7 linked regions of the Tribolium castaneum genome follow. The protein of the gene in region 1 purifies or fractionates together with the protein of each later gene. This does not show direct contact. Links are inferred from orthologs where the notes say so. Each region holds a gene or a part of one and is shown in the gene's direction. Other genes may lie near its edges.

Evidence for each region.
Region 2: the proteins of Prp8 (region 1) and ecd purify together in Homo sapiens (affinity purification with mass spectrometry; 7 studies listed by BioGRID and IntAct, counting the BioPlex papers as one, with this or other methods). This does not show direct contact. The link is inferred for Tribolium castaneum from reciprocal best matches to the Homo sapiens genes PRPF8 and ECD.
Region 3: the proteins of Prp8 (region 1) and Sf3b3 fractionate together in Homo sapiens (co-fractionation; 4 studies listed by BioGRID, with this or other methods). This does not show direct contact. The link is inferred for Tribolium castaneum from reciprocal best matches to the Homo sapiens genes PRPF8 and SF3B3.
Region 4: the proteins of Prp8 (region 1) and Sf3b6 fractionate together in Homo sapiens (co-fractionation; 3 studies listed by BioGRID, with this or other methods). This does not show direct contact. The link is inferred for Tribolium castaneum from reciprocal best matches to the Homo sapiens genes PRPF8 and SF3B6.
Region 5: the proteins of Prp8 (region 1) and Smu1 purify together in Homo sapiens (affinity purification with mass spectrometry; 3 studies listed by BioGRID, with this or other methods). This does not show direct contact. The link is inferred for Tribolium castaneum from reciprocal best matches to the Homo sapiens genes PRPF8 and SMU1.
Region 6: the proteins of Prp8 (region 1) and rept purify together in Homo sapiens (affinity purification with mass spectrometry; 3 studies listed by BioGRID and IntAct, with this or other methods). This does not show direct contact. The link is inferred for Tribolium castaneum from reciprocal best matches to the Homo sapiens genes PRPF8 and RUVBL2.
Region 7: the proteins of Prp8 (region 1) and Prp19 purify together in Homo sapiens (affinity purification with mass spectrometry; 5 studies listed by BioGRID and IntAct, with this or other methods). This does not show direct contact. The link is inferred for Tribolium castaneum from reciprocal best matches to the Homo sapiens genes PRPF8 and PRPF19.

Annotation. Positions count from the first base shown.
Region 1 is NC_087394.1:7,711,213-7,714,799, reverse strand, and holds part of Prp8 (pre-mRNA-processing-splicing factor 8), read left to right. Parts: intron 1-878; coding exon 879-1,996; intron 1,997-3,281; coding exon 3,282-3,428; intron 3,429-3,486; coding exon 3,487-3,587. UniProt on the Homo sapiens protein: Plays a role in pre-mRNA splicing as core component of precatalytic, catalytic and postcatalytic spliceosomal complexes, both of the predominant U2-type spliceosome and the minor U12-type spliceosome.
Region 2 is NC_087394.1:35,465,413-35,469,565, reverse strand, and holds the start of ecd (protein ecdysoneless), read left to right. Parts: upstream 1-1,303; 5' UTR 1,304-1,345; coding exon 1,346-1,589; intron 1,590-1,741; coding exon 1,742-1,947; intron 1,948-2,332; coding exon 2,333-3,793; 3' UTR 3,794-4,153. Other genes in the region: tether containing UBX domain for GLUT4, read left to right, coding at 1-316, 367-724, 807-1,159. UniProt on the Homo sapiens protein: Regulator of p53/TP53 stability and function. Inhibits MDM2-mediated degradation of p53/TP53 possibly by cooperating in part with TXNIP. May be involved transcriptional regulation. In vitro has intrinsic transactivation activity enhanced by EP300.
Region 3 is NC_087394.1:10,470,335-10,474,718, reverse strand, and holds the start of Sf3b3 (splicing factor 3B subunit 3), read left to right. Parts: upstream 1-1,547; 5' UTR 1,548-1,831; intron 1,832-2,099; 5' UTR 2,100-2,112; coding exon 2,113-2,549; intron 2,550-4,384. UniProt on the Homo sapiens protein: Component of the 17S U2 SnRNP complex of the spliceosome, a large ribonucleoprotein complex that removes introns from transcribed pre-mRNAs.
Region 4 is NC_087395.1:21,527,758-21,530,369, forward strand, and holds Sf3b6 (splicing factor 3B subunit 6), read left to right. Parts: upstream 1-1,427; 5' UTR 1,428-1,556; coding exon 1,557-1,586; intron 1,587-1,637; coding exon 1,638-1,973; 3' UTR 1,974-2,028; downstream 2,029-2,612. Other genes in the region: mutS protein homolog 5, read left to right, coding at 21-211, 259-304, 350-897, 938-1,411.
Region 5 is NC_087397.1:5,008,364-5,012,709, reverse strand, and holds Smu1 (WD40 repeat-containing protein SMU1), read left to right. Parts: upstream 1-1,538; 5' UTR 1,539-1,691; coding exon 1,692-1,717; intron 1,718-1,768; coding exon 1,769-1,979; intron 1,980-2,027; coding exon 2,028-2,142; intron 2,143-2,186; coding exon 2,187-2,605; intron 2,606-2,862; coding exon 2,863-3,086; intron 3,087-3,131; coding exon 3,132-3,233; intron 3,234-3,277; coding exon 3,278-3,461; intron 3,462-3,508; coding exon 3,509-3,661; intron 3,662-3,716; coding exon 3,717-3,815; 3' UTR 3,816-3,867; downstream 3,868-4,346. Other genes in the region: tau (microtubule-associated protein 2), read left to right, coding at 350-529; zinc finger protein OZF, read left to right, coding at 4,144-4,251, 4,297-4,346. UniProt on the Homo sapiens protein: Involved in pre-mRNA splicing as a component of the spliceosome. Regulates alternative splicing of the HSPG2 pre-mRNA. Required for normal accumulation of IK.
Region 6 is NC_087401.1:15,890,110-15,894,370, forward strand, and holds the start of rept (ruvB-like 2), read left to right. Parts: upstream 1-1,458; 5' UTR 1,459-1,530; coding exon 1,531-1,536; intron 1,537-1,713; exon of another isoform or gene 1,714-1,866; coding exon of another isoform or gene 1,867-1,872; intron 1,873-1,981; coding exon 1,982-2,367; intron 2,368-4,261. Other genes in the region: Hmt-1 (ATP-binding cassette sub-family B member 6), read left to right, coding at 66-168; uncharacterized protein LOC663271, read right to left, coding at 317-618, 665-804, 855-1,092, 1,149-1,206. UniProt on the Homo sapiens protein: Possesses single-stranded DNA-stimulated ATPase and ATP-dependent DNA helicase (5' to 3') activity; hexamerization is thought to be critical for ATP hydrolysis and adjacent subunits in the ring-like structure contribute to the ATPase activity.
Region 7 is NC_087395.1:23,125,930-23,130,210, forward strand, and holds the start of Prp19 (pre-mRNA-processing factor 19), read left to right. Parts: upstream 1-1,479; 5' UTR 1,480-1,487; coding exon 1,488-1,611; intron 1,612-1,733; coding exon 1,734-1,883; intron 1,884-1,927; coding exon 1,928-2,391; intron 2,392-4,281. UniProt on the Homo sapiens protein: Ubiquitin-protein ligase which is a core component of several complexes mainly involved pre-mRNA splicing and DNA repair. Required for pre-mRNA splicing as component of the spliceosome.

The DNA of each region.
Region 1 (3,587 bases):
ATAAAAACTGAATTATGTCCCGTCCGTAATCATGGAATGGCTTATAAATAAATTAAATAGATAATTTTTCAAACCTGACATCATTTCTTTGTTAGTTTTTATTAAACTCTTCTTTTTTAAACGAACGTCTTACTAAACTATTGATTTTTTTTATTTAAGCTGAGGATAGTCTGTTTTCTTATTTTTCCAGGAGTTGTAGCTTAAATAGAAATGATTATCTGTGTCATTATCATTTTTGGCAATAATTTAAAGCCAATCTCTTCAGTCAATTGGGCAGTAATTTCTCGTAAAGTATTTACTCGATTTAAAATTAAAATAATGACAATAATTCAAGTTTTTTGAACAATTATTCCGACCTTTTTGGATTTTTTTTTCTCATTCAGTATTGGAATATATTGCTGTAGACGTGAACTTGTTCAAATCATTCTCAGTATTCTGAACAGTTTTTTCTTGGCAGAATTATTGTTTTATGACAGTTTTATGTGTTTACGCTTTGCTGCAGATCCACGACTTCGTTTTGTCGAAAACTCAATTATTTTTCTCAAATAAAAAATATTTTTTTTAATTTGAGATGTGTACATTTTACATAAGCAAGCAAAATTGTCTTTTTTTAGTCTTGGTAATTGCTTTATCCATTTTCAAATTGCATCAGTGGTTTTCCAATGTTATTAGTTGTAGTTGTTTTTGTTGTAAGAGTGATGAGACGCGCAGGGGTCCTGAAGTTGACCAAAATGTAGATCAACAACTGGTGCTTACATTGACGTAGGTCGATACAGCATTGGTTGGAAAATGCGCCTCTGACTATTTTTAATTATTTTATTACATTAGTTTCTCTGTTAGTTTTGCTAAGTCGCTGTATAGGTCAATGTTAATTACAGGTTCCTGGTTTACCAATCCCCATCGAAAACATGATCCTACGATATGTGAAAATGAAAGCCGATTGGTGGACAAACACAGCTCATTACAACAGAGAACGAATTCGCAGAGGCGCAACTGTTGATAAAACAGTGTGCAAAAAGAATTTGGGAAGACTGACACGGTTGTATTTGAAAGCAGAACAAGAGCGACAACACAATTACTTGAAGGATGGTCCTTACATCAGTCCTGAAGAAGCAGTAGCTATCTACACTACAACAGTGCATTGGCTTGAGTCACGAAGATTTGCTCCAATTCCTTTCCCACCTTTGTCTTACAAACACGATACTAAACTTCTGATCTTGGCTTTGGAACGTCTCAAAGAAGCATACAGTGTTAAATCGCGACTCAATCAAAGTCAACGAGAAGAATTGGGTTTGATTGAACAAGCTTATGATAATCCACACGAAGCTCTTTCGAGAATTAAGCGACATTTATTGACACAGCGAGCTTTTAAAGAAGTAGGGATCGAGTTTATGGACTTGTACAGTCATTTGATTCCGGTGTATGACGTTGAACCACTTGAGAAAATCACCGATGCGTATTTAGACCAATATTTGTGGTACGAAGCTGATAAAAGGAGATTGTTTCCACCGTGGATCAAACCTGCCGATACTGAACCTCCTCCTTTACTTGTCTACAAGTGGTGTCAAGGAATCAATAATCTACAAGACGTTTGGGACGTTTCGGAGGGCGAATGTAACGTTCTCCTAGAATCAAAGTTTGAGAAACTCTACGAAAAAATTGACTTGACTCTGTTGAATCGATTGTTACGTTTGATTGTCGACCATAATATTGCTGATTACATGACGGCTAAAAACAACGTTGTGATTAATTACAAAGACATGAATCATACGAACAGTTACGGGATAATTAGGGGTCTACAGTTTGCTTCGTTTATAACACAGTATTATGGTTTGGTTTTGGATTTGTTGGTGCTTGGGTTGCAGAGGGCTAGCGAAATGGCAGGGCCACCACAGATGCCGAATGATTTTCTCACATTCCAAGATGTTTCAACGGAAACTTGCCATCCGATAAGGCTCTATTGTCGATACGTTGACAAGATTCACATGTTCTTCAGGTAAAATTCATTGTTATTTATTTTGTTTTTGGGCAGTTTCATATGTTCTTTAGGAAGAATTAATAATTACACTAGTTTACAACGTTTTTTACCAATAGATGAAATCAATGTGTATCGGTAGAATAATTAATAATAATAATAATAATAATAAAAGCCTTTTTTAAAGAAAAAATGTGAGGAGGCGAGATCTAACTGATGCTATTCTACTTAAAACAAAACATAAATTTTTAAATATAAACCAAAAATAACCAAAATGCATAATATAATATTAATATAAAAAATAATATACAATTTTTAAGTAATACTAAAAAAAAGGAGATATGTGTCTCGGAATACTGTTGAATAAATGTAAAAGATAATAATAATAAAAATAATAATTCGAAATGAAAACAAATACAGCAAAAGAATAATTACTGAAATAATAAAAAATCTAACTTTGTTTGTTTCTTAAATAAGTTTACTGGCTTTGACTTTAAATGGTTTTGGAGATATTATTATAAATGATGACAGCGTTATAGCTGAAAGATCTAAGAAATGGTGCTTTTTCTTTTTTAATTTCAGATACACAAAAGTTACGATAATTAACCCTAACTTTGATACAGAAGTCGAAAAAAAATTAGGACAAGTTTTTTAAATATTCATTATAAAGTATAAGTATTTCAGACAATTTTTGCAACATTAAAAATGTTACAGACTGTTTTTTCTTTTGTATTATCAGGGTCAGTTTATCTCAATGCAGACTAGTAGTAAACGAATAACGTATTTTTATCTCAAAAACCTTAATACCTCTCTTCATAAGACTTTAAAAATTTGATAGAAATATTCATCTTGTTTATCCCATAGGTTTTTAATTTTTTTAGGATAATTTTACCACAAGAAAAAAAATTTCTACTTTAGTTTCACAATATGTTTTTCACAAAAAGAGGAAATAGTTTGAACAGGTTTTGATAAGTTAAACTAAACACAAACAACAAAAATAGAAAGTCGAAAAAATAGTATATTATAATACTATTGCATATTATTGTGGCACTCATTCTGTTGGAGCACTCCTTCGTCGTGCTCCCAAACCATTTATGCCAGTATAGAAAAATTTTTGTTTTTGGCTTTTATGATGAAACGCGCAGGGGTCCTGAAGCTGGTCAAGCTGTAGGCCAGCAACCAGTGCATACACTAACGTAGGTTAGTTGTGTATTGGTTGGAGATATGCGCTTCTGAACAGTTTTTTTGCTTATTTAACGAAACACAAGTAACTTTATTTTAGTAATGGAATATTTTTTTATTACAGATTTACAGCTGAGGAAGCTCGCGAATTGATTCAAAGATACTTGACTGAACATCCTGATCCAAATAATGAAAATATTGTTGGTTACAATAACAAGAAATGTTGGCCCAGGGATGCCAGAATGAGATTGATGAAACATGACGTTAACCTGTAAGTTAATAATGTTTCTTTTTTTTCGATTTTTAATTGGTTTGGTCGTTTGTGTCAGGGGTCGAGCTGTATTTTGGGACATCAAAAATCGTCTGCCCCGGTCTGTGACAACTATACAATGGGAGAACAGTTTTGTGAGCGTCTATTCGAAAGATAATC
Region 2 (4,153 bases), about 28 Mb from region 1:
TCTGCCTACGAAACCGGTAGAGGAGAAGCCCTTTCATCGCACTTTAAAGACTGAAGCTGAATATTCTAAAACTACCGATGTGAAGCCTTTACAAAAGAAAACTGAGGTTGATTTATTGAAACTAGCACGGGAAAAACGAAAATTGAGCAGCCCTTCCAAAACTCCGGAAACGGAAACGCATTCGCCTAAAACTAAACCCAAAGTTGAGTCTGACGACGAAAAAATGGATGTTGATTTGCCAGAAAACATCGCAAATTACCCAAAAGAGCCAGTTACCAACCCATCATCTAGTCAGCTTGAGGACGATTTTGTTTTTGTATGTAGCATTTTATTTTTATTATTTTATTTTGTATTTGAAATTTTCAGTTGGGCGAGCGCAAGGCAATGTTATTTTCTCTCGAATCGGCGCGTTCTTTACCAGCTGAAGACCTACCAGACGATTTTTTTGAGCTCACAATTGATGATGCTAAGAAAATTCTGGGCGATATTAGAAGAAAGCGAAACGAAATGGACAACGCTAATCTCATGACCTCTGCAATGCGCAATTTAGAAGAATCAAAGAAGCAATTACGCCAACTGCGTAAATATAAACAGTCAGTAATACGCGTCCAGTTCCCAGACAGGTCCATCCTTCAAGGGAGCTTCAAGCCCAGCGAAACTGTTAAAGATATTAAAGATTTCGTCACTTCTTTCCTAGAAGATCCAAACAGTGATTTTCATCTTTGTAAGTATTGTTCTACTTCAGTCAAGTGACCTTTGACTCTAGTCAGAAACTACTTTGATCACATGTTTAAATATTGTTACAGATACAACGCCGCCTAAAAATGTTCTCTCGGACGAATCAAAACTAGTGGAAATTGGTTGCGTGCCGGGGGCTTTGTTGCATTTAGGAGCAAATGGTGATGGGAGTTCTGTGTGCTTGAAGGCGGAATTGAGGGATAAATTTACAACAAACTCAAAAGCAAGTTTAGCGGCGTCACAGTTGCGGCAAAAGGGAACAAGACCCGAATCTCCGAGTGAAGAAATGGGCCAGGATGAGTCTATGGATACACTGACTGAAGCAAATGCTGCTGGGCCAAGTACACAACCAACCAGTTACGAGAGGAAAGTAATAAAATCAACGGAAAAAGTCCCTAAGTGGTTTAGACCATCAAAGTGATTTATTAGTGTTAAGTTTATATGAGTTGGTACTTATATTAAATAAAAGCACTTCAGCATCTAATTTTGTTTTATTTTGGTGAGAGGAGCGGGTGTTTTTGAATAGTTTGGGGAGTTTTGTTTTATTGGCACCAATGGTGTGTCAAATGTCATTCAAATTTTTTAATTGATTACTTTTAAAACAACAATGGCAAGTAAAGTTAACGTTCTTGAGTCCGTTCGTGAAGATGATTTTGTTGAATATCATCTTTTTCCACCTATTGATTCCCAGGACGACAAAGAACAAGAACTTGCGTTAACCAGAGTTTTAAATCAGTGTGAAAAAATCGTAAAAAGGTACACCGATGAGTATTTATGGCATAAAGACGAATTTAAATTAACTGTGAGAACGTGGATTAGTAATTCACTGATTCATGATAGTGAAAAAACAGGTAATGGTCGTATTTTATGACTTCACATTAAAAAAGTGCTTTTACATTTTTTGAGGTTATAAACCAGCAAATGCTTTGTTTAAAGTAAATCTGTATAAATCACAATGTAACAATTTTTTGAATCACCTAATTCGAGATCAATTGTTTTGCAGAGTATTTACCACCACATTTATATGGCGTAACTCATTTTGGAGACAATATAGAGGACGAGTGGTTTATTGTGTTCCTTTTACGTCTCCTAACTAAGGAAATTGATGGTTTAATAGCTCGTGTGCACGACGCTGATGGCGAATTTATTTTAATTGAAGCAGCTGATTACTTACCTTTATGGGCAGACCCTAACAACTGCGAAAATAGGGTAAGGTTTCTCATTATCTGTGCTTGTCTTTTTTCTAATTCAAATTAGAATAAAGTGATAATTGATTTTTTTGTTGGAAATTTTAATTAAAAAACGTTGCTATGGTAAGAGTGTTTTAAAATAGTGTTTATAATCTAGCATTCAGATGTGAAAAAGAAGGCTTAAAATGTTACCATCAAAAAAATAATTTAACGAATGCAACACAAGTCAATGAACGAAGCTGTACCAACATGTGAAAAAATTGCAACAAAATTGCAGCTCTATAAGATAGTACTTCTACATTAAAATTCACTTAAGTAATAATTTATTAGTTAAGCATTTATAATTATTTATACATTTCTGTAATAACTGAAGCAAAACTGACTTGGATCTGGTTTTTCTCCAGGTATACATTTACCAAGGCAACATTCATATCATCCCTCTAGACACCTCGGATCACCTCCCAGAAATGGCCCAAATGGCGGTCAATGAGGCCGTCTCAACAATCCAAAACAATCCGATCGACACTTTAGCCTCATCAGACATCCAAAACTGTATAATCAACAAATTAAAAGACTACCCTGACAAAATCCAGTCCAGTCTTCACCATGCCACTGCCTACCTACCAGTAGGTGTCGCTGCAATTTTGCGCCACAAACCCGGGCTTATAGCCCCCGCCGTCCAAGTCTTTTGTAATCGAGACCCAGTTGACGCCAAAACCTGCAAAGCCATGAAATATTTTCCGCCCGAAAACCGCGTAAATGCCAGAGTGACATTTACTAAATGTTTATACGCAATGCTAACTCACAGTAAATACGTTCCGGATCGCAGAACCGGCTGGAACTTGCCTAAAAGCGACAGCCCACAGTTTAAAGCGCAGAATTTAGGCGTTAAAATCGCCTGTGGGTTTGAGATTTTAGCCGCGCAAGCCAAACCAAGCCAGGACATTGAACAGGATAAAGGGTGGGTTAATTATTTTGAGAAACTGAAAGAGAAAAATTATTTTCGGGGGTTGTTGGAGCATTCAAGAGAATACAACGATTTATTAAACAAAGCGAAAGAGTACTACATCAATCACCGAGACTCTATGCACTATTCTCCAGCCATTGGGCAAGAAATTGTCCAGTTGATCAAAAATTTGGATTTTAAGATCGATGAATTGAAGGAGGAAAGTAATTTGCCTGACGATGACGATTCGTGGCTTAACGTCAGCCCGGAAGAGTTGGATAAAATGTTAGAAGAAAAATACGGGCAAAAGAAATTCGTTACAGTGAACAACAACTCAGACGCCGCCTCTTTCACTGAAAAAATCTCCTCGTTCTTAAACCACGTGTCAGATATTGACGGAGTTGAGCACCCAGACCTGGACAATTCCCCAACTCGGCCCCCTAGAGGCGTGAAAAAACGCACCAAAGTTTCGTTCGCAAGTGGCACAAAAACCGAGACAACAGCTAATAATAGAGTTAGTTTTGATCCGAATGCGTTTTCTTGCGCCGTTCAGAACATCCTGAATTTTGTCATTCCGGAAGATGACAGTTGGGATTTGGATTCTGGGTCTGATATGAGCGATTACGCCGACGATGTTGCCGGGAATGAGGAGATGTACGAAGGGGTTAAAAATAAAATGCAGGAGTATATGGAACAGATGGATAAGGAACTGGCGGCGACCACAATCGGGGAAAGTTTCGAGAAGAAGAACGGGGACGGGTTTGAGGATATTGAGAGTTTTAAACCTGTTGATATTGACGTGAATGCGTTGAAGAATATTCTGGAGAGTTATAAGTCGCAGTTGGGGGAGGCGGGACCGTCGAGTAATATGTTAGGGCCGATGGGGGTGCACTTGGATGTCAGTAATAACGATGATTGAGATGATTATTTAAGCGCGATTTATTGATTTACTGTTAATTTTTGTAGCGCGTGCCAATAAGGAGGTTTACTGCCATTGTCTTTTCACTATTGATGTATACAGTGTACGAGATTCACACGTTAAGCTGTACAGAACACGAACGATTTGATTACATGCTTAATATTACCTCAGAAATATGAAAAATATTTTGTGTTAACGTTACGTTGTTTTTGCAACTATGACACATTTCTTTTTTTCGTTCTGTACAGCCGCATATGTATTTTAGATTTAGCTGCTTGTTATGAAAATTAAAAGAATATATTTAATACTTTAGGATATTATGCTTCGTTAAATTAATATTTTTATGTCGATTGATGCTAG
Region 3 (4,384 bases), about 2.8 Mb from region 1:
TGTTTTTATATTTAAAATGGCAAGCTTACGTTGTTATTCTATTTTACAATTTTAAACATGAAATGTCGGAAAAAGAAAAAAATAATTGTATGATTGCGTATCAATAAAATTTTATTTTACAAAAAAAATGTCAATCCAAACACCAAATCAAATTTTATCTGCGGTAAAAAAATATACAACATTATCAACGTCACCTACACATTTTTTATGTAATTAAAATCTGCGATCATCGTATATTTGTTCAATTCAAAATAACTTCAACACAGCTTATTTTTATAATTTCACATTTTTTACTTTAATAACCGTTCACAAAATTTCTAGATTATTCACACCTTTTATGTGAAATAATTTTTTCATAGCCAACTACTTTCAAATGTTTTAATATATTTTTATCATAAATATACAGCGTGCTCAAAAACTGGCGCACCAACTCAATGGTGTGTGATAGAGAAGTGGTTACATATAATGGTAAAAATAGTAAAAAAATTCTTTGTATTAAAATTATTGATAAATAACTAATTTTAAGTAATTGATATGTGGCAACGTTGTCTAATAGTCATGATCGCAATAGAATTTGAGCAACAATAAAAATAAATTATATTTGAAACGGTTTCCTAGGAAATAATTCCCAGTGTTGGCACATCTACACATTGTGATTTTTTTGGATAAATTTTAATTTTTTTATATTAAAAAAACTGCTAAAATTTGATAGTAAATTTTAAAATAATTGTTAATCGTTTTGTTACGGAACGATTACCTGGTATGAAAAATAAAAATATAAAAAAATAATAAAAACTAAAGAAATTAACACAATAAGTTTGTAGCTCCAGATTTTTTAAAATATAACTTTAGGAATTTTTTCAACATTTTTCCCGTAATCTGCACTTGCTTCTCAATAACGTACCACTGAGTTGGTGCGCCAGTTTTTGAGCACCCTGTATAAAAACATCAAACTATATTTATATTGTTTTGAGTTCAGAAAAAAAAAGCTTTTCGAAAATGTCATAGCCAACTATAATTCTCATTTAAAAAAATAAAACTTTATGTCATTACAGCTAAGCGAATGAGTAAAAAAAATCGCTGCTAACATTATTAAATTCTCTGTAAAAAAGTGCCTGTATAATGTTTTTGTTTTAAATATGTATCTTTTATAATAAGGAAGATATGATATCTTTACAATAACTTAAAATTTCATCAAACAAACGCATAAGACTATTACTGTAAATTGCATTGAACTAAAACTCTGAAAATTGTCCGGAAAATATGGTACAAAACAATAAGCTTTTTACTAGAATTTGGATTCTTATTTGCCTCAAATTGAGATAAACACAATCAAGTTCTAAATACAGTACCTACAGTACGGTAAAAACAAAAGATACATACTGGCAATATCAAACGCATAAATTGTTAAAGTATAATTTTGGCCAAAGATAATTTTCTGAAAAATTTATTTAAATTGAAATTTCCTCTCAATTTTCTGATTGGTTTAGAAATTTTGCGCTTGCGTAGTAAAAAATATAGCCAACACGCACGCGCAGTAGCACTACATTTCTTCTTTCCGTTTCCTTTCTCACTTCACCGGTGTTTGTGCGTTATTTTGCCGGTCTGTCGCCATTTGCAGTTAGTTTTTGTACTTTTTTGCTAAATAATGTATCAAAACATTGCAAAAGGTGCTTTATTATTGTTTTTTAATTAACTTAACCATCGACAAAAACGCTCAAATAAATAACCAAGTCACCACGTCACAACAATGTGAACCATGCGAAAATCGAAAATAAATGGTTGAAAAACTTTGAAATATTGAACGAAACGAAGCTCATCCACGTTCAAGGTAACAAAATTTAGCTTTGATTTTGTTTTATAATTAATCACAAGTACGTATTTTTGCCCAAATTAACGAGTTGCTTTAAAAATTTGTAATCGGATGCACTTGGTATCTCCTGTACCTATGTATTGTATACGTACAGGTCGTAAAGGGTGCTATATTATGGGGCACATCGCATCGTTGGCTCAAGCGAATTACCAAGCTAAAGCCTGGTTTTAGTGCCCCACATTTTCAACTAAAAAATGATACGTTCTAACCTCACTTTTCTTCCTAGATAAGCCCCCAAAATGTATCTCTACAACCTGACCTTACAAAGGGCCACAGCCATCACCCACGCCATCCATGGCAATTTTTCCGGCACCAAAATGCAAGAAATTGTCATTTCACGTGGCAAAAGCTTGGAAGTGCTACGGCCTGACCCCAACACCGGTAAAGTCCACACGCTTCTAACCGTCGAAATATTCGGAGTCGTCCGCTCGTTGATGTCGTTTCGACTCACCGGAGGCACCAAAGACTTCGTCATCGTGGGCTCCGACTCCGGCAGAATCGTTATTCTTGAGTATATCCCGTCTAAAAACAACTTCGAGAAGGTCCACCAGGAGACGTTCGGCAAATCGGGGGTCAGACGTATTGTTCCAGGCCAGTACCTAGCCACTGACCCTCGAGGACGTGCTGTAATGATAGGCGCCGTCGAGAAACAAAAACTCGCTTACATTTTGAATAGGTACAAATTTTTTATTAAAGTATTTTTGTTCTGTAAAAATTAATGAATGCACAAAAAACGTGCGGTCTTTATTAGTTAGTTTTGCGGAAAACTATTTTAGAAAGTTATAATTACATCTGCATCTGAGTGACATTTTTGGAGTGCGATTTGTGCAAAATTGTAAGTTTCTGTAAAAGAAAAAAAGTTTGTGCTAAGAAAACCCACCAGAAACTCAATTTGCGTTACATTTTACTCCAAAAAATGCAAATACGTTTTTGCAAAATTCTACGACCTGAAATGGGATATACCTACTTAATTAAAAACAAAACGAAATAGATTACCACAATTAAAGAATACATTATCAAGCCCCAGTGAGTTTTGTGTCAAATTCGAAACTTTTGTATAGTTTTACTGTATTAAAGAATGAATTTTGTAAAAACAAATAGAAATTGCTGTTTAAATTTTAAATGTGACAGTGCGGGAAAGCTATTTTTAAAATTTTTGGCAATCAGTTCTGCATTTAGACGGCTCGGATAATCCGTACGATTCTATTAACCGAACTCCCAAATTAAGTAAAATAGTATACATAATCCGAATTACCATTCATTTATTTTGACTTTTAATTATTTTGTCGAAAAAAGTATTTGTTTAAAATACACTATCGGACAAAAGTAAGGCAACATGTTGAAAAATATACAAATATTGGTATTTTAAATTTTAAGAGTTGGTATTTACCTTCAATTTAATTTTATAATAAACGTTTAAAGATATTCTTATTCGTGTTGAACATGGATAGCCAATGGGTAATTATTATGACATGCTACTAGCTTGAAATATAAAAAAGCCCGATATTAATGCGACAAAAGTAAGGCAACATTGTCAGAAAATATTTTCAACTCAAATTTTATTTGATTCAACATTTACATAACACTACCCAACACTAAAGTTTAAATAAATAGAACGAAAAATTCAATAATTTATGACATAGCCGTTATTAAGTATAATTTTTTGGCACCGTCTGGGCATTGAAGAAATTAATTTTTGAATAACATTTTCATCCAGATTTGACCACACTTCTTTGATTTTATCTATCAAAGATTGCTTGTTGGGAAATTTTTGTATCCGGATTCGTCGCTCTACCTCTTCCCATAAGTTCTCAATTGGGTTGAGGTTTGGTGATTGGGCAGGCCATTGCAAAACATGAATATTATTATTTTGGAACCACTCACTGACCAATGCAGAAGTGTGTTTGGGGTCGTTATCTTGCTGAAAGATAAAACGAAGAGGCATTTCCCATTCTGCATACGGCAGCATTACATCTTGGAGTATGTCCTTATGGATGAACCGATCCATATTACCCCCAATAAAGCTCAACGGACCCACACAATTCCACGAAAAACACCCCCACAGAAAAACGCTACCATGACCATGTTTAACAGTGGGTGTAACATACTTGGGGTTGAATCGTGTATTGATTGGCCGTCTCACACGTTTCATTCCATCCGAATTAAATAATTTGTATCGAGTTTCGTCACTAAACAGAACTTTCCTCCAATCTTGCTTTGTCCAATTCAAATGTTCTCTTGCAAATTGAAGTCTGGCGCGTCTATTTCTTTCGGAAATCAAAGGTTTTTTAGCAGGACGTCTACTAAAAAGCTTTGCTGCAACCAGTCTTCTTTGAATTGTTCGTGTACTAACTCCTACTTCCGGTATTTCCGCTATAATTTTAGATGCAGATTTCCATGGATCGTTTTCCGAAATTCTTTTAATGCGTCTGTCCATGTTTATAGTGGTTTTTCGTGGTCGTCCCGATTTTGGATTATTGTTTAAATGTCCTCTTTCGTTGTAGCGAATAA
Region 4 (2,612 bases), on another chromosome or scaffold:
ATTATTAAAAAATGATTTAGAAAAATTGCGTCGACAAGACATTGCCCAACATGTTCGAGCAGCGGCCGGAGTGGCAGCAGAGCAATTACCAGACTATTTAAACGAATGTTCCATTGTGTATTTACCAGAAATGGGACATTTGGTTGCGATAAACGAATGGAAACCGAATTGCGATCCCGAGGAATTGAAAGATTTAGGATTTCAATTCATGGTAAGAAAATTCCTAAGGCGATTTATCACTTATTGGGTATTTTGTAGTTCACGTTGCGTGGAACAATCCATTACAAGAATCCACTATGTTTAGGTATAAAAAATTTAAATTTATTGTTTTTCTATCATTTTAATTTAGAATTGGACGAAAACCTTGGCGACATTAATGCCGAAATAATCGCCCACGAAAATCGCATTTTGCAACGCCTTTCCTCCTTCATTCTCAAATACAACAAGGATATTAGAGAGCCTCTTAGAGTCTTATCGCTGTTTGATGCGTACGATTTTATTGATTTTTTCTCCCAATTATACACAATTTTTAGTTTGATAGCAATAGCGAAAGTCTCGGCACAAAATAATTACGTCCGACCTGCTTTAAACAACCAAAATATGCACGAAATCCGCGAGTGTCGTCACCCTCTCCTCGAGCTGGTCTCAAATTTCGAGCCCAATGACTTTTGCTCGGGGAATCACCACAGTCACATTAAAATAATCACGGGGCCTAACGGCAGTGGCAAAAGTGTGTATTTGAAGGAAGTAGCCCTCGTTATTTACTTTGCCCACATTGGCTCCTACGTGCCTGCCAGGAGCGCCAACATCGGGATTTTGCATTGCATACATTCCAGAATGCAAGCGACGGAATCGGCAGCCGTGCGCCTATCTGCATTTATGATTGACGCAATCCAGGTCTGTATAAAATTTTGCGAAAAAATTAATCGTAAATTAGGCCACGCAAGCGATTCATAACGCGCGCCACAACTCTCTGATCTTATTGGACGAGTTTGGCCGGGGAACCACCGTGGAGGATGGACTTGCTTTACTGGTCGGCTTTCTGGCCGACTTTCACAAACAAGGCAATAACTGCCCTCACATACTTGTCTCGACGCACCACCAAAGCATTTCTGATTTTTTACCGGAAGATGGTGTTGTTGAATATTTGAAAATGGCACATTCGGAGGAAAATGGGACACTTTTGTTCCTTTATAAAGTGGCGAAAGGTGTTTCGAGGAGTTTTGCGATAAAAATTGCGGCCGAAGTTGGCGTGGATGCGAGTATTATCAAACGGGCAAACGAATTGTTTGAAAAAAAGAAAACAGTCACGCCATTAGTCCGTTGTGAGAGTTATCCGGCTTCCGTTAATGATAGTGCGTTGATTGCGTTTTTAAAAGATGTTAATATTCCGGAACCAGATGAGGCATAATTGTGTTTGAATATCCCGCTTTAGTTTTGTTAATTGTTGGGTTGGTACGTGTTACGTTGGCGATCGTGTTGTTCAGTCAATAAAAACGTTTGTGTGAGTTTGTTTTTGTATTTAATTCATTGAAGCAAATTAAAAAAACGCCACAATGGCTTTGGCTATGCAAAGAAAGGCAAACGTAAGTCGTTAAATACCAAAAATTTGACCCAAAAAATGTTTTTTTTTATAGGTTAGGTTGCCCCCAGAAATCAACCGAATTCTCTACATCCGCAATCTCCCCTATAAAATAACAGCCGAAGAAATGTACGATATTTTCGGTAAATATGGGGCTATCAGGCAAATCCGCGTCGGTAATACCCCGGAAACTAGAGGCACAGCTTTTGTGGTTTATGAGGACATTTTTGACGCAAAAAACGCTTGTGACCATTTGTCCGGCTTTAATGTTTGTAATCGGTATTTAGTGGTTTTGTATTATCAGGCGAGTAAAGCGTTCAAGAAGACCGATATTGAGAAGAAACAGGAAGAGATTGATAAGATGAAATCAAAATACGGAATTAATACGTAAACATATTGTATTGTACATAATTTTAAGCTTTTTAAATAAATAATTACAATGAGAATGATTTTTATATCTAACGCAATTAAATCTCCCTTTAAATTCCCTTTCAATTCAGGGTGAGTCTGCTAAGAGTTTTTTTTTATGGGTACAAATTAAATGCACAGTATTTTATTTAAACGACAAGTATTTTTGATCAGTAAAAATAATAAACGCACAGTAAAAATAATAAACGCACAGTTAAAATAATAAATGCACAGTAATAATAGTAAATGCTCAGTAAAAATAGTAAATGCTCAGTAAAAATAATAAATGCACAGTAGATAATAGCATCTCAAAAATCGTTCGCGGGATATGTTTCGTTTTAGTTCGATGGGGCGAAGCCCCAGCCTGCAGGCTATCTATTGAGCGTTTATTATTTAAACCGTGTAAACTGAAACTAGATACTGTGCATATACGATTTTTTTACTGGGTAAATTTTAATAAAATACTGTGCGTGGTTTTGTCATTTAAATTTTTTACTGAGTAAAAATGGATTAAATACTGATCATTTATTATTTCTACTGTGCAAAAATTAATTAAATACTGATCATTTATTATTTTTTACTGATCAAAATCGAATTTATTAATGATCGCTTTATCACTACC
Region 5 (4,346 bases), on another chromosome or scaffold:
TCATTTTGAAGCGTTTTGATACGTTTCAGTTATGCTGTTTCCAGTAAAAATATTTTATTTTGTTTTGCAAAATAGATGGTATTGAGTATATCATCACTGTATTAACTTTATAAGAAGCATTAATAAAATGTGCATTAGTATATAGTAGCAGCTTTTATTTTCACCAATTTTTGCACCAACAATCACACACGCTGCCCAAAACACTGAACACAAGCCGAAATGCCTTAGGTAAGTTTTGAATTTTTTATTTTTTACAGTCTAGCCTTCTCAAACGAAATTGAATATTTTATTACTCCTGAAAATGTCACTGCTTTTAAACATAAGCCTGAAGATAAATTCGTATTTTTAGAAAATTGTATCCAAATCAGCTCGTGAGAGATATTTTGATCCAAGTGAAGAAAAAGCAAGAATTTTGGAAACTGTGAAAGAAGAGGTTGCTCGAAAGAATCGTCCTACTTCAGCATTTTGCAGGAGTGGGTCACTGAAAGTTAAGAAAAGTGCAACACCTCGACCACCGTGGAGATTTTAAATCGCTTAACGATTTTTTTTATTTTTTTAAATTTCTTTATTAAATGTGCTGCTTTATTTAATTCAATATCCGATCTAAAAATTCATTAGGCAACGCATTTTTGTACTATAATTGAATTGTATTGTCCAACAATCATGCAGAATTTTACATAATCTAATATTTGTTGTCAGTTTTTAAGTAAATGGTTGTTGGACTATAATATTGTACCAGTATTAGTTGTAGAAAATTATTTAGGAAAATTAGGAAAATTACAAAAATTAGTTCATTAACTGCAGTAGTCAGGAAATATAGTGAGCGGCAAAAGCGGAAAACAGAACGTCAAATAAAAAAAAGACGTTAAAAAAAACTGAATTTTTGAGAATTCTTTTGCTGGTCATAAATCTTGTACTGATCATAGTATCAATATTAAGAAAAAGAAATAACCAAATACTATGTAAAATTATATCATTAGAACAAAATTTTCACTTTTATACAATGATATTATTAATCCACAGTTTTCACAATACCACGTACAAAAAAAAAAAAATAGTTGTGTATATATTAAATACATTTAGATATTCTGTTTAAGCAAGTATGTAATGGTAAAATTATTATTGCTTATGTACTTATATTTTTTAGAAACATATGTGGATTACCATAATTATTTGTTTAGTGATTATTTTTTTAGTTTAATATTTCAACTAATATTAAAAAGTTGATTGTCCCATATTGTTTATGGAAATAGAATTGTCTTAGTTAACGTTAAATAAAAATTATCTTGCACATATTTTCTCTGATACTGACCAAACTCCCACCAAAAACAACCCCTATTTGTGGGAATTGGGATTAGAAAAAACAAAAGTTGGTCTGCAGTAAATAATTTTCGAGAAAAACTCGTTTAAATAAACCGTTAAATAAGTAGGGCTAGTGGTGAGGTGACCGCCCTAACAATATATTAGGCAAAAATAAAAAATAAAACTGAAGTTGTTTCAAAAAATTTTTGATTTGGCGACATCTAGCGATTTTGTGTTGTAGTGGAGACATTAATGTCAAAAACGTAAGTTGGAGTTGTCAAAAAAATAGGATCATTTTATTTGCAATTTAGCACTTTTTTGTCATTTGAAACGTGATTATTAGCACAAGAATAATAACGTAAAGCCTCTGAAGCCACAACTCCTAAAATATGTCTATAGAAATCGAATCTGCGGAGTAAGTACGACATAACCAAACAAACAGTGTTATGTTTTTATTTACTTGCAGCGTAATCCGCCTAATTCAGCAATATTTAAAAGAATCTAACTTATTAAGAACTCTTCACACACTACAGGAGGAAACTGGTGTAACATTAAACACTGTAGATAGTGTTGATGGGTTTTGTGCCGACATAAACAACGGGCATTGGGACACTGTTTTGAAAGCGATACAGTCCCTTAAACTCCCTGATAAAAAATTAATCGACTTGTACGAACAGGTAGACGCCAAATTATTCAACTAGTTCGCGAAACTACAAATTTCTTAGATTGTTTTAGAATTAATTGAACTCAGAGAGTTAGGAGCAGCCAGATCCCTACTCAGACAAACAGACCCCATGATAATGATGAAGCAAAACGAGCCCGAGCGTTACATTCACCTAGGTACTCAACAAAAGTAAACACTTCAAAAATAACTTTTTTTACAGAAAATTTACTCGCTCGTTCATACTTTGACCCCCGTGAAGCTTATCCAGACGGAGGCAGCAAAGAAAAACGCCGTGCTGCTATTGCTCACGCCCTTTCAGGGGAAGTATCAGTTGTACCATCGTCACGTCTTTTGGCCTTACTTGGCCAGGCGCTAAAATGGCAACAGCACCAAGGCTTGTTGCCTCCTGGTACCACAATTGACTTGTTTAGGGGCAAAGCTGCCATCAGAGACCAGGAAGACGAACAATTCCCAACTCAAATGGCCAAACAAATCAAGTTTGGGCAAAAGTCGCACGTGGAGTGCGCTCGCTTTTCACCAGATGGACAATATCTGGTCACAGGGAGCATTGATGGGATTATTGAGGTGTGGAATTTCACCACCGGGAAAATTCGCAAGGACTTGAAATATCAAGCCCAGGTAACAGTTAATTCTAATCTTTAAAAACTATTTTCAAAATTCTTTTATAATTTTGTTTATATTTTTTGTAGATTATTCTTAAATATTGTTTCTATATACTTCTGTACATTTTTTTAAGATTTTCGTGATTCTTTCCTAAGCCATAAAGACTGAAATCTAACTTTATAAATTCTTCTTTAGATAAAAATATTCTTCTCAAATAGAAAAAATTAATTAACATCAAAATATAATTTTTTTTTCGATTACATTTCGTTTAGGAGAGCTTTATGATGATGGAACATGCAGTATTATGTATGGCGTTTTCGCGAGACAGCGAAATGTTGGTAACTGGGTCACAGACCGGAAGAATCAAAGTTTGGAGGATTAGCACGGGCCAGTGTTTGCGAAAAATCGAAAAAGCTCACTCGAAAGGTATCACCTGTTTACAGTTTTCTAGAGACAACAGTCAGGTTCTAAGCGCTTCGTTTGATCACACTATTAGGTAATAATTTAAAATCTAGTGGCGCCAATTTTACGGTAATTATAGATTACATGGCCTAAAATCTGGGAAAATATTGAAGGAGTTTCGTGGGCACACTTCGTTCGTAAATGAAGTTATTTTCACTCAGGATGGTCATAACGTTTTGAGGTATTTTTTAAACTTGTGTCTTCTTTTAAAACATTTTTATTTAGTGCTTCTTCTGACGGAACCGTTAAAGTGTGGAGCATCCGAGCTGCGGAATGCATCAATACTTTCAAATCTTTAGGCGCGGGCGATATCACGGTGAATAATATTCACAACTTTGCAAAAAATCCCGAACATTTTGTTGTCTGTAATCGCACGAATACTGTAGTTATTATGAATCTTCAAGGACAGGTAAATTGTGATGTTACCAAAAACATAAAAAATTCATTTATTGATAGATTGTGAGGTCATTCGCAAGTGGTAAACGTGAAGGTGGTGATTTTGTATGTTCAACAGTGTCACCAAGAGGTGACTGGATTTATTGCGTCGGGGAAGATCTAGTCTTGTATTGCTTTTCCACAAATTCTGGTAAACTCGAGAGAACTTTAAATGTAGGTTTTTCACCAATGGTTTAATACAATTGTGGTTTACTAATTTTTGTTCCAGATTCATGAAAAAGACGTTATTGGTATAGCACACCATCCACATCAGAATTTACTCTGTACATATAGCGAGGACGGACTCGTGCGTTTGTGGAAACCGTAATTATTGTAATTTTGTAACGTTTGTAATCCTAAGAAATAAAGCGTAAATTCAATTCAGTTTTTTATTTTCACACCCAACTGAAGTCACCACATGTGACGCCACCTCACGGCGTCTCTGTAAAAAAGTAAAACTTCTAAAAAAATCGATAAAATATAACAAAGCAATAAATTATTATTTAAAGGACAAAGAAATTTCGAAATCTGGGATAAACTTAAATAAAATCACTACAAAATATAAAATAAAAAGAAAAATACCGATCTGTCAGTGTCACTGTCACTTAATATAACCTCAGTTTTCAAGGGAACACATTTTTTCAAATATTTTAAAAATGAAATTGGATAAAATTTGTCGCACGTGTTTGCTCGAAAAGGCCAGTCTGAAGCCGTTATTCGGAGCTTGTGTGGCCAATATGTTAATGTCGTGTGCCTCAATTCAGGTATTTCATTCACTTTTTTACTTTATTTAAACATGTGTCCTGAAGGTAATTGAGGGCGACGGTCTCCCCTGCCAAATTTGCACGCAGTGCTTGCA
Region 6 (4,261 bases), on another chromosome or scaffold:
ATGTCAATATGTTGGCACCATTGCCAGCCATTCGTAAATTTCAGTGTTGCCACCCATTTTTTCAGACACGAGCACTTGATTGGCCAGGAAGGCGTGTACGCCTCCATGTGGAAGCAACAATTGGAGAGTAAAGAAAATTCAGCCGAGACTAGCCTTGAGAGGAGTTAATCCCCACCCCACCCCCCACTATTTACAATTAGTTGCCGAGGTTTGGGGCTTATTAAGTGAAAAAAAACGCTTCGTAATTATTGATTTGTATTGAACAAAAAATAAGTTGACTGTCATATCACTAGTTTAAATAAAATATTTCTATTGACTATGGTAAAAATAATTCTTCTTCGGGAACCCTCGCAAACACTTCGTTAATATTCTGCGACCACACTGTTGCCATCACTTGCTCAATGGCGGCGCCAAAGTCGGCATAAACAGTTAGGGAATTTTCGTTGATTGTTTTCATGATTTGTTGGCTCAGCTGTTCGTTACCGTTGATTATGTTATCATAGGAAAAAATCACTTTTTTCGGGTTGAATTTAAACACGTGCTCGGTCATTCTCAAGTGAGTCTTGCCTTTTTTGGTGTACCTTTCACATTTGAAGTGATTGGCGCCTTCAACATCCCCTAAAAAAAGAATTAGGCACGAGGCGAAGCCGAGTGCTTCACTCACAGAACGTGTTATTACACTTCCCTTCACCGTTTAGTGTGAAAATGAGCAACTTTCCGTTGATTTTGTAATCGGCTTCCATACGCACGACGGGAGTCAAGCTATCGTAGCTCCAATAACAACTCCCTTGCGTAAAATTAACCCTAAAATTTTTTTTCAATTTTTTTTTTTTTTTTGTTAATTTTATTGTTACTTCGAATTTTTGATCGTAGCCGAGGTGATGCCGTGAATTTTCACATTTTTGTAAACTTGCTGGAGCGTGTCCTTGGACGCTTGGCCCAAGGTCACCTCCGGTATAAGCAGTGGCTCCAACTGACTAATCCCCAAATCCCTGTTCCCCATGGCCAACTTACGCACATCTTCCATAACATATTTATCCAAACACTGGTTTAAATTAGGATCCGATTTGCGACATTTGATAATTTCGGGCGCTTAATTAATTAATTAATTAATTAAAATCAATGGTTAATTCAATTAAACGACTTACGCAAAGTTTTGGCAAAAGTTGAGCCAAAAACAAGCACCACAAGTAAAATCGCACTCATTATTCTACGGAATCAAGTCGAAAACTATTATTAAAAATGAGTTAGTGAAAAGTATTTGTAGTGTCGAAAAGTTGAAAACCTTGTAATTCGTACATAATTTTCCTAATTGCAACAATAGGCAATTAGGGAGCGGAAATTTTGTGCTAATGTGGCACAAATGAGGCAAAAACGCCCGTAATTATTGGTTTAACATTGTTTTAAACTGTTTGAATGGAAATTGGCGCCGGTTTTCGGCACGTTGGCAGCACTTTGTTTGAAGGGCCCAGTGTTTGATCAATTATTTCAATTAATTAATTCAAAGTTTGGGTTAATTGTGGCAGTGCTATGGCTGTAAGTATTAACAAAACAATCATTTATTAATGAAAAAAGCCCACAAAAAACAATTTTTAATACAGAAGTTACACAGTTGGTATTACAAAAATTTCAAGTTTGGGACGTTTTTGTCACATAAAACTTTTTTCCCGACGAATTATTTAATTTAATTATGTGTTTCGAGTAAAATTAATATAATAATTATGCTTAATTAATTAAATTACGAAGTGGGTACACTTTTTCTGGTGATTTTCGCAGTTACGTTGGTACCGCGTCCCTCCATTGTTTTTGCATTTCCTTTAAAATTGTGCATAAAAACGCAAAAAAGCCGCAAAAACCACAACCCCAATGGCTGTAAGTACCCCATTCTCCCTTATCTCGTTAAAAACACCCTTTTGCTGATAACATTATCGCATTTGTGTCGTTTTTGCGGCGTTTGCTGACCCTAACCCCACTTTCGCAGAGCGCCGCCGCTGCAAAAATCGCCGAAGTGCGTGAAACCACGCGCGTGGAGCGCATTGGGGCCCACTCCCACATCCGGGGGCTGGGTCTGGATGAGAGTCTCGAGGCCCGGCATGTCTCGCAAGGGATGGTGGGGCAGGTGTCTGCCAGGAGGGCTATCGGGATTGTCTTGAAGATGGTGAGGGAGGGGCGGATTGCTGGTCGGGCCGTGCTTTTGGCGGGGCAACCGGGGACGGGGAAAACGGCCATTGCGACGGCTCTGGCCGCCGCCCTGGGGCAGGACACCCCCTTTACGAGCATGGCAGGCTCGGAGATTTACTCGCTGGAGATGAGCAAGACGGAGGCGCTGACGCAGGCGATTAGGAAGAGTATCGGGGTGCGGATCAAGTAAGTGCTGGAATACCGGGTGACTGTGATGAATTGTATGGGGGAATTATTTGGCAATACTGCGCTTGTTTTATGAATTAAGAGTTCAGATTTATCACAAAACTGACGACAAGATCCGTTTTATTTATTTATTTATTTATTTAACGAAAAATTTTTTTCTACAAAATATATAAATTACAAAACCACAAAAAATAAAATTATTTAACAATAAATGATTAATATCAAGAATCATTTAGCCTTAACAGCGAATGTATAAAGTGCTAATGGCTTTTCAGTAGTCACCCGGTATAAAAATGTCAAAAAAAATTGAAATACTATAGTCGGTGTATTGTTGGTTGCCTATATACTAACTTCTGAAACTTTGAATTTATAGTTTTTATTGATTTAGAAATCTGTTAAAAAATATTTTTTTTTCTAATTTAGTCGTTTGTTAAGCTTAAAAAATTTTTCCCCGTGTTTTTTTTTCGGGAACAAAGATTTACAAGAAAAAAAACAAAACAGTGTGTCTCGGAATTTATTTTGCAAAATTTAGTGATGAATTCTCTAATTTTTCAATATTCAATATTCAATATTGAGGGTTATTTTAATAAAAAAATATTTTCGAAATGGAAAGAATCTACTTTTTCTATTTCGTTGATTTTCTACAACGGATTTTTTTTACTTTTGTGTGCTTCTTATTCTGTTTTTTTTTGCTTTCTTTTCATTTTTTTTGCTTTCTCTTGATTTTTTTTATTTTTTTAATTTGTTACAAGAGGTTTTTTTTCTTTTTTGTGTTATTTCTTTTTTCGTTTATTTTATTATTGATGTTTTTCACTCTCCCGTAATTCTTTGGACTTGAACCATATTTTTTAAGTAATTTTATTTTTTTGGTTTTGCGACGATTTTAATTTTTTGTTATACTAATTTTGTTTTTTTATAATATATGTTGGTAATTTAATTTTATAGTTCATTTTCAAATATAAATATGAAAACGTTTAATAAACTAGCAGGTTTGACAATAAATTACACCCGACAAGATTAGAAAAGATGGTTATTTACTTTGAAAAAAAATATATAAAATTAAAGAAAAAACTAAATTTATTTTTATGTTTAACAGTTTAACTGAAAGTTTTTTATTAGTGGTCCGTCACTTTTGGGATCGCTATATTATGTTTTGTTTTACCAGTTTTTTTTTAATTTTTTAATTTTATTTTGTCTTTTTTAATTTATTCATGGAGAAAAAAAAATTAAAAGCTTGAAAAAAATGGGCATTTGCTTTTTTAACTTATTTTTTTGGTTCACATTTATGTTTTATTTTCCACTTTTATTTAACACATTTTCTCTTTATTTTCTATACATTTTTTTGTTATTTGTTAATTAGGTTTTTGTGTCTACATATTATTTTTTCGTATTTTGGTTTTCGTTATTTCGTATCGATTTATGTATTAAATTCTTGGATTTTTTTATATTTTATTTCTTGTTTCTTGTAGGCGTTTCCTAATTTCACTTATTTTTGATTTATTTTATCAAATTTATTTTCCAAATTATTTTCGTTTTTCAATGTTTATTTTATTTTTTTAGTCTGTCTTTGTTGATTTATTCGTGGAAATTGGGAATAATTAAAAAATCGAAAAAATTACCGTTTATTCATAATGTTAAAGTAACGTTATGAACTTTAAGAGTTAAAGCGACTTCAACTTTATGAATAAACAATAAAAGTGTAAAAAAAATTCAATTTTTCAGTTATTTTCAATCTCCACAAACAGAGGGAATAAGAAAATTTTATAATTTTTTTATTTTGTTCTTTCTTTTGTAATAATTTGACCTCACTTTTGAATTTTGTTAACTTAATTTTTTGGTTCACATTTATCTTTTATTTCGCCTTTTCTCTTTCCTAAGAGTTTGCAACGATTTT
Region 7 (4,281 bases), on another chromosome or scaffold:
AAATACGGTGTTGAAAAGTCAGTTTGAGTGACTCATTTTAAATTCAGTAACTATTAATAAAATCAAACACTCAAACAATTTATTGCCACGTAATAATTTTGTCTTTAATTTCAATGAATGAAAGTGGCTTGCTCAAAATTTAATGCAAAGAAACATTTTTTTTTTGGTTTCTTTTTTATTATTATTATTTTTTATGCTACAAACGGTAGCCAACGTGGAAGCGAAACACAGGTACGTCCATTTTATTGTTGTGTCGTATTTATTTATTTCACAAACCAATAATTCGTTAAAATTTAATTGCAAATAAAATGTTGTGTACACCGGCTCTAATACGGTGTTGAAAAGTCATAGTTTGAGTTTTAAATTCAGTAACTAAAAAGAAAACACTCAAACAATTTATCGTCGCGTTTTGATTTTGTCTTTAATTTCAATCGATGAAAGTCACTTGCTCTAAATTTAATGCAAACATTTTTTTTTGGTTTCATTTTTATTATTATTATTTTTTTAATGCTACAAACGGTAGCCAACGTGGAAGCGATATGAAGGTAGGTGTATTTATTTACTGAAGTTTTAAATTTAAATTGCCACATATTAAAACGTATTGTGTATTTTTTATTTTGTTTAATATTGACAAATGTTGCTTGTTGTAACTTTCATGCAAATAAAGATTTTTTATTGGTGTTGTTTTTATTTTTTAATGTCTTGCTACAAACAGTAGCCAACGCAGAAGCCATATGAAGGTAGGTGCATTTTTTTGCGTTTTATCTTGTGATGTGTTGAATTTAATAGCTTGTGTGCCATATATTATACCGTATTGTGCATCCTTTATTCTGTATAATATTTATTAGTGTCGCTTTTTGTAACTTTCCTACAAATTATTTTTTTTTGTTGGTTGTGTTTTTAATTTATTTTTTAGGTTTTGCTACAAATGGTAGCAGATGCAGTATAAAGGTAAGAACATTTATTTAACGCCAAGTGAAAAACTTTGATTTTTGTGTACTTTTTTTTTATTACACAAACCAGTAATGTCTTTATTCCCTTTTATTTTCCAATAATCATTGTTTACCTCATCCTTATTTCCTTTTTTCCTGGCAAGAATGCTCTAAACCTCCACGTGGTTCTTGCTGGACAAATTAGTTATTAATTTGACTGATTAGAGCAATCTTTAAATACGAATTTTTTTAACGCAGTTTGCAAAATTGAGACATTTTTTTACAGCCGAAGGCCCTATCGAAGGGCTTATTCCCCTACAAAAATAATGAACATTGCACGGTAAAAAGGGGGTGAAAAAAAACAATTTGCATTGCTTGAATATAAGAATAAAAATGTAGTCAAGTTTTAATTTGTAATAGAAACACATTAGAATGATCAGGGTATGTTTTTCTAATGATTTACGATTATTTTGATAATTTTCCTGGTGTGAACTTGGCTGTAGAAACGAGAATGTTGCTAGCTCCAGGCGCGCAACGATTGTCTGGTCGACTGTAATGTTCATGGTGCCATCATCATTTTTAGTGCATCTGCACAGATATCTCGGCCACAGTGTTTTTCACTTTGTGCGGTTGGCGACACATCAAGCTAAGTTAGCAAAAATGGCGTTGTTTTGTGCCCGTAAGTATGAATTTTTGTTGCGATTTTGAATAAAGTACGCTTTTTTAACGAATCAAAACTTAATTCGAGTGTCAGTAATGAGCTTCTGGCGCAGTTTGGGTAACGATTTGGCCCGGTTTCAGTTTCAAACGAGGTGCCGGAACACCCAGTCGTGTCCCCAACGTCGGGTGCGATTTTCGAAAAACGCATCATCGAAAAGTACATCCAGGAGCACGGCAAGGACCCCATCAGCGGTGACGAGCTCACCGTGGACAAGCTCATTGAAATTAAGAGTGAGTAGCCTAACCCAACTTGTTCGGTTCTAACCGCCACACAGCCCCGCCGATAGTCAAGCCGAAGCCGCCGAGCGCCACCAGCATCCCGGCCACGCTGAAGCTGCTGCAGGACGAGTGGGACGCCGTGATGCTGTACAGCTTCACGCAGAGGCAGCAGCTGCAGACGGCGCGCCAGGAGCTGAGCCACGCGCTCTACCAGCACGACGCCGCGTGTCGCGTGATCGCGCGCCTCAACAAGGAGGTGACCGCCGCCAGGGAGGCGCTGGCCACGCTGAAGCCCCAAGCGGGCATCATCACGGTGCCGCAGCCCGCGGTGGCGGCCGAGGCCGGCGGCATCGCCAACCAGCCGACAGAGCAATGCGGCCTGACTGATGAAGTGATTGAGAAGCTGCAGGACAAGGCCACGGTGTTGACGCAGGAGAGGAAGAAGAGGAGCAAGACGGTGCCTGAAGAGGTGTCCACGCCGGAGCAGTTGAGGGGATTCAAGACTTTGGCCTCACATCCGGTATATTTTCAATGTTTTTATTTATACCATCCAGTATTTCCCCGAACATCTCTTGCATTTTGCACAATTGTCGTTTTAAAAATTTCACTTGACAAATGCAAAGATTACTAAATGTGGTAGAAAATGACTTAGTTTTCTCTCTTACGAGTGTTTTAGCACATTTACCAATTGGAAAAACGTGTAAAGGTTGGTGTTATTTTGCTGGATTTACTCGATTTAGCTTGTTATTGGGCGAAATTTCATCAAAAATAAGCCAAAAGTCACAGGATGTGTTCAAAACACTGATATTTTTTAACTAAATGTTCGTTCAAATAAAAGAATTTCTTTCTAACCTAATTCTAATTGAATTGAGCCAAAAATGCGTTGTTTTTTTTAAGTAAATATCTAAATATTTCAATAAAGTGATCGAAAATGATGTCATTTCAGGTTGTTTATCTCGAACTTATTCTGAGAAATCAGGAAATTAATTTGGGAAATCTTCTATTTTCGTAATACATTTTGCAGTCAAAAAGCAAAATTTCGTTGAAATCTTGTTATTTTTGCCATTTTCCGGCAATTTAATTCGTATAACATTCGACAATGTAGTTATTTCGAATTTTTTTTTTAAGATAAGAGCGAAAATGTTACATTTTTTTGTTGTTTTCAAGTGTTTTAAATTTTTTTTGAAAACAATTTAAGCTTTTTTCTATAAACATTACAAAAACTTAATAAAAAAGCACTATTTTTACATCAAGATGGTTGTTATTTTAGACCATTCCCTTCGATTTTGTTTGTTTTTGAGCCAGGAATTTATTTATTTCCCAACAATAAAAATATAAACTTATTATTTTGTTTTTATTAACTTTGATTAACTTTCGCGAAATTCCCTTTAAAAAAAAACGCAAGAAACCACAAAATTTGATCAAAATTTTTACGTTTTTTAAGCTTTAGAGCACGTTTTTGAATTTAATTTTCAGCTTTTTTGGCGAAATTTTGCAAAACCAACTGAGAAAAACATGCAGAAATAATTTTTCTGTTTTTTGAGGCTTTTCTAAAAAGGTAGATGAAAAAAACACCAAATTAATTCTAAGATTTTATTATTTTTCGAGTTCACGAGCATTTTAGTACGCTTTTAAGACAGAACTGTTTTCCAAATTTCGTAAAAAAAATAAAAAGCCGACTCTTTTATTTTACGAGATCTTGACAAAACACCTAAAAATCAAAAACTTATTATCAGCTTATTTTTGAATGAAATGTTCCCAAAAACAAGACAAGAAACCAATGAAATTGTTAAAATTCTTATTTTTTCTTTATTCATGCTTTCAAGCACATTTGAATTTTTGTTTTAATCGCCAAATTAAATATAGAAAACTACATTAATTTTTCATTTGCGATCATTTTAATACGTTTTACACTTAAAACCACAAATATTCCGCAAAATTTCGTTCAAAACCATTCGGAAACTAATTTATTTTGTAATATCTTGTCACATAAGTGAATCGACATTAATTATTATTTAATTATTTAGTATATTTGAGTTTGAGTGAAATTCGTCAAAACTCATTATAAATAAGTCGAAAATTGTGTTAGTTTTACTTTTTTCCGGGCTGTAAGCACAAACTTTTGCTAGAATTGGCTAAAATCATCAAATTAATTAACACAATAACAAGTGTTCATTTAAAAAAAACTCTAGAGTGCTTTGAAAATAAAAAAATAATTGTTTACTATGTCTGTGATTAATCCGTTCTTTCATAACCTTACTTTTTGACAACTAAAAGAAAACAGATTTTCATCATAAAATTTATTTATTATTTATAAAAACTGTTGGAAATGTCTTCCTTGTTGTTCAACACACATAACACATCGCCTTTGAACACTATTTAACAATCTTTGGCTATGAATTGTGATGAC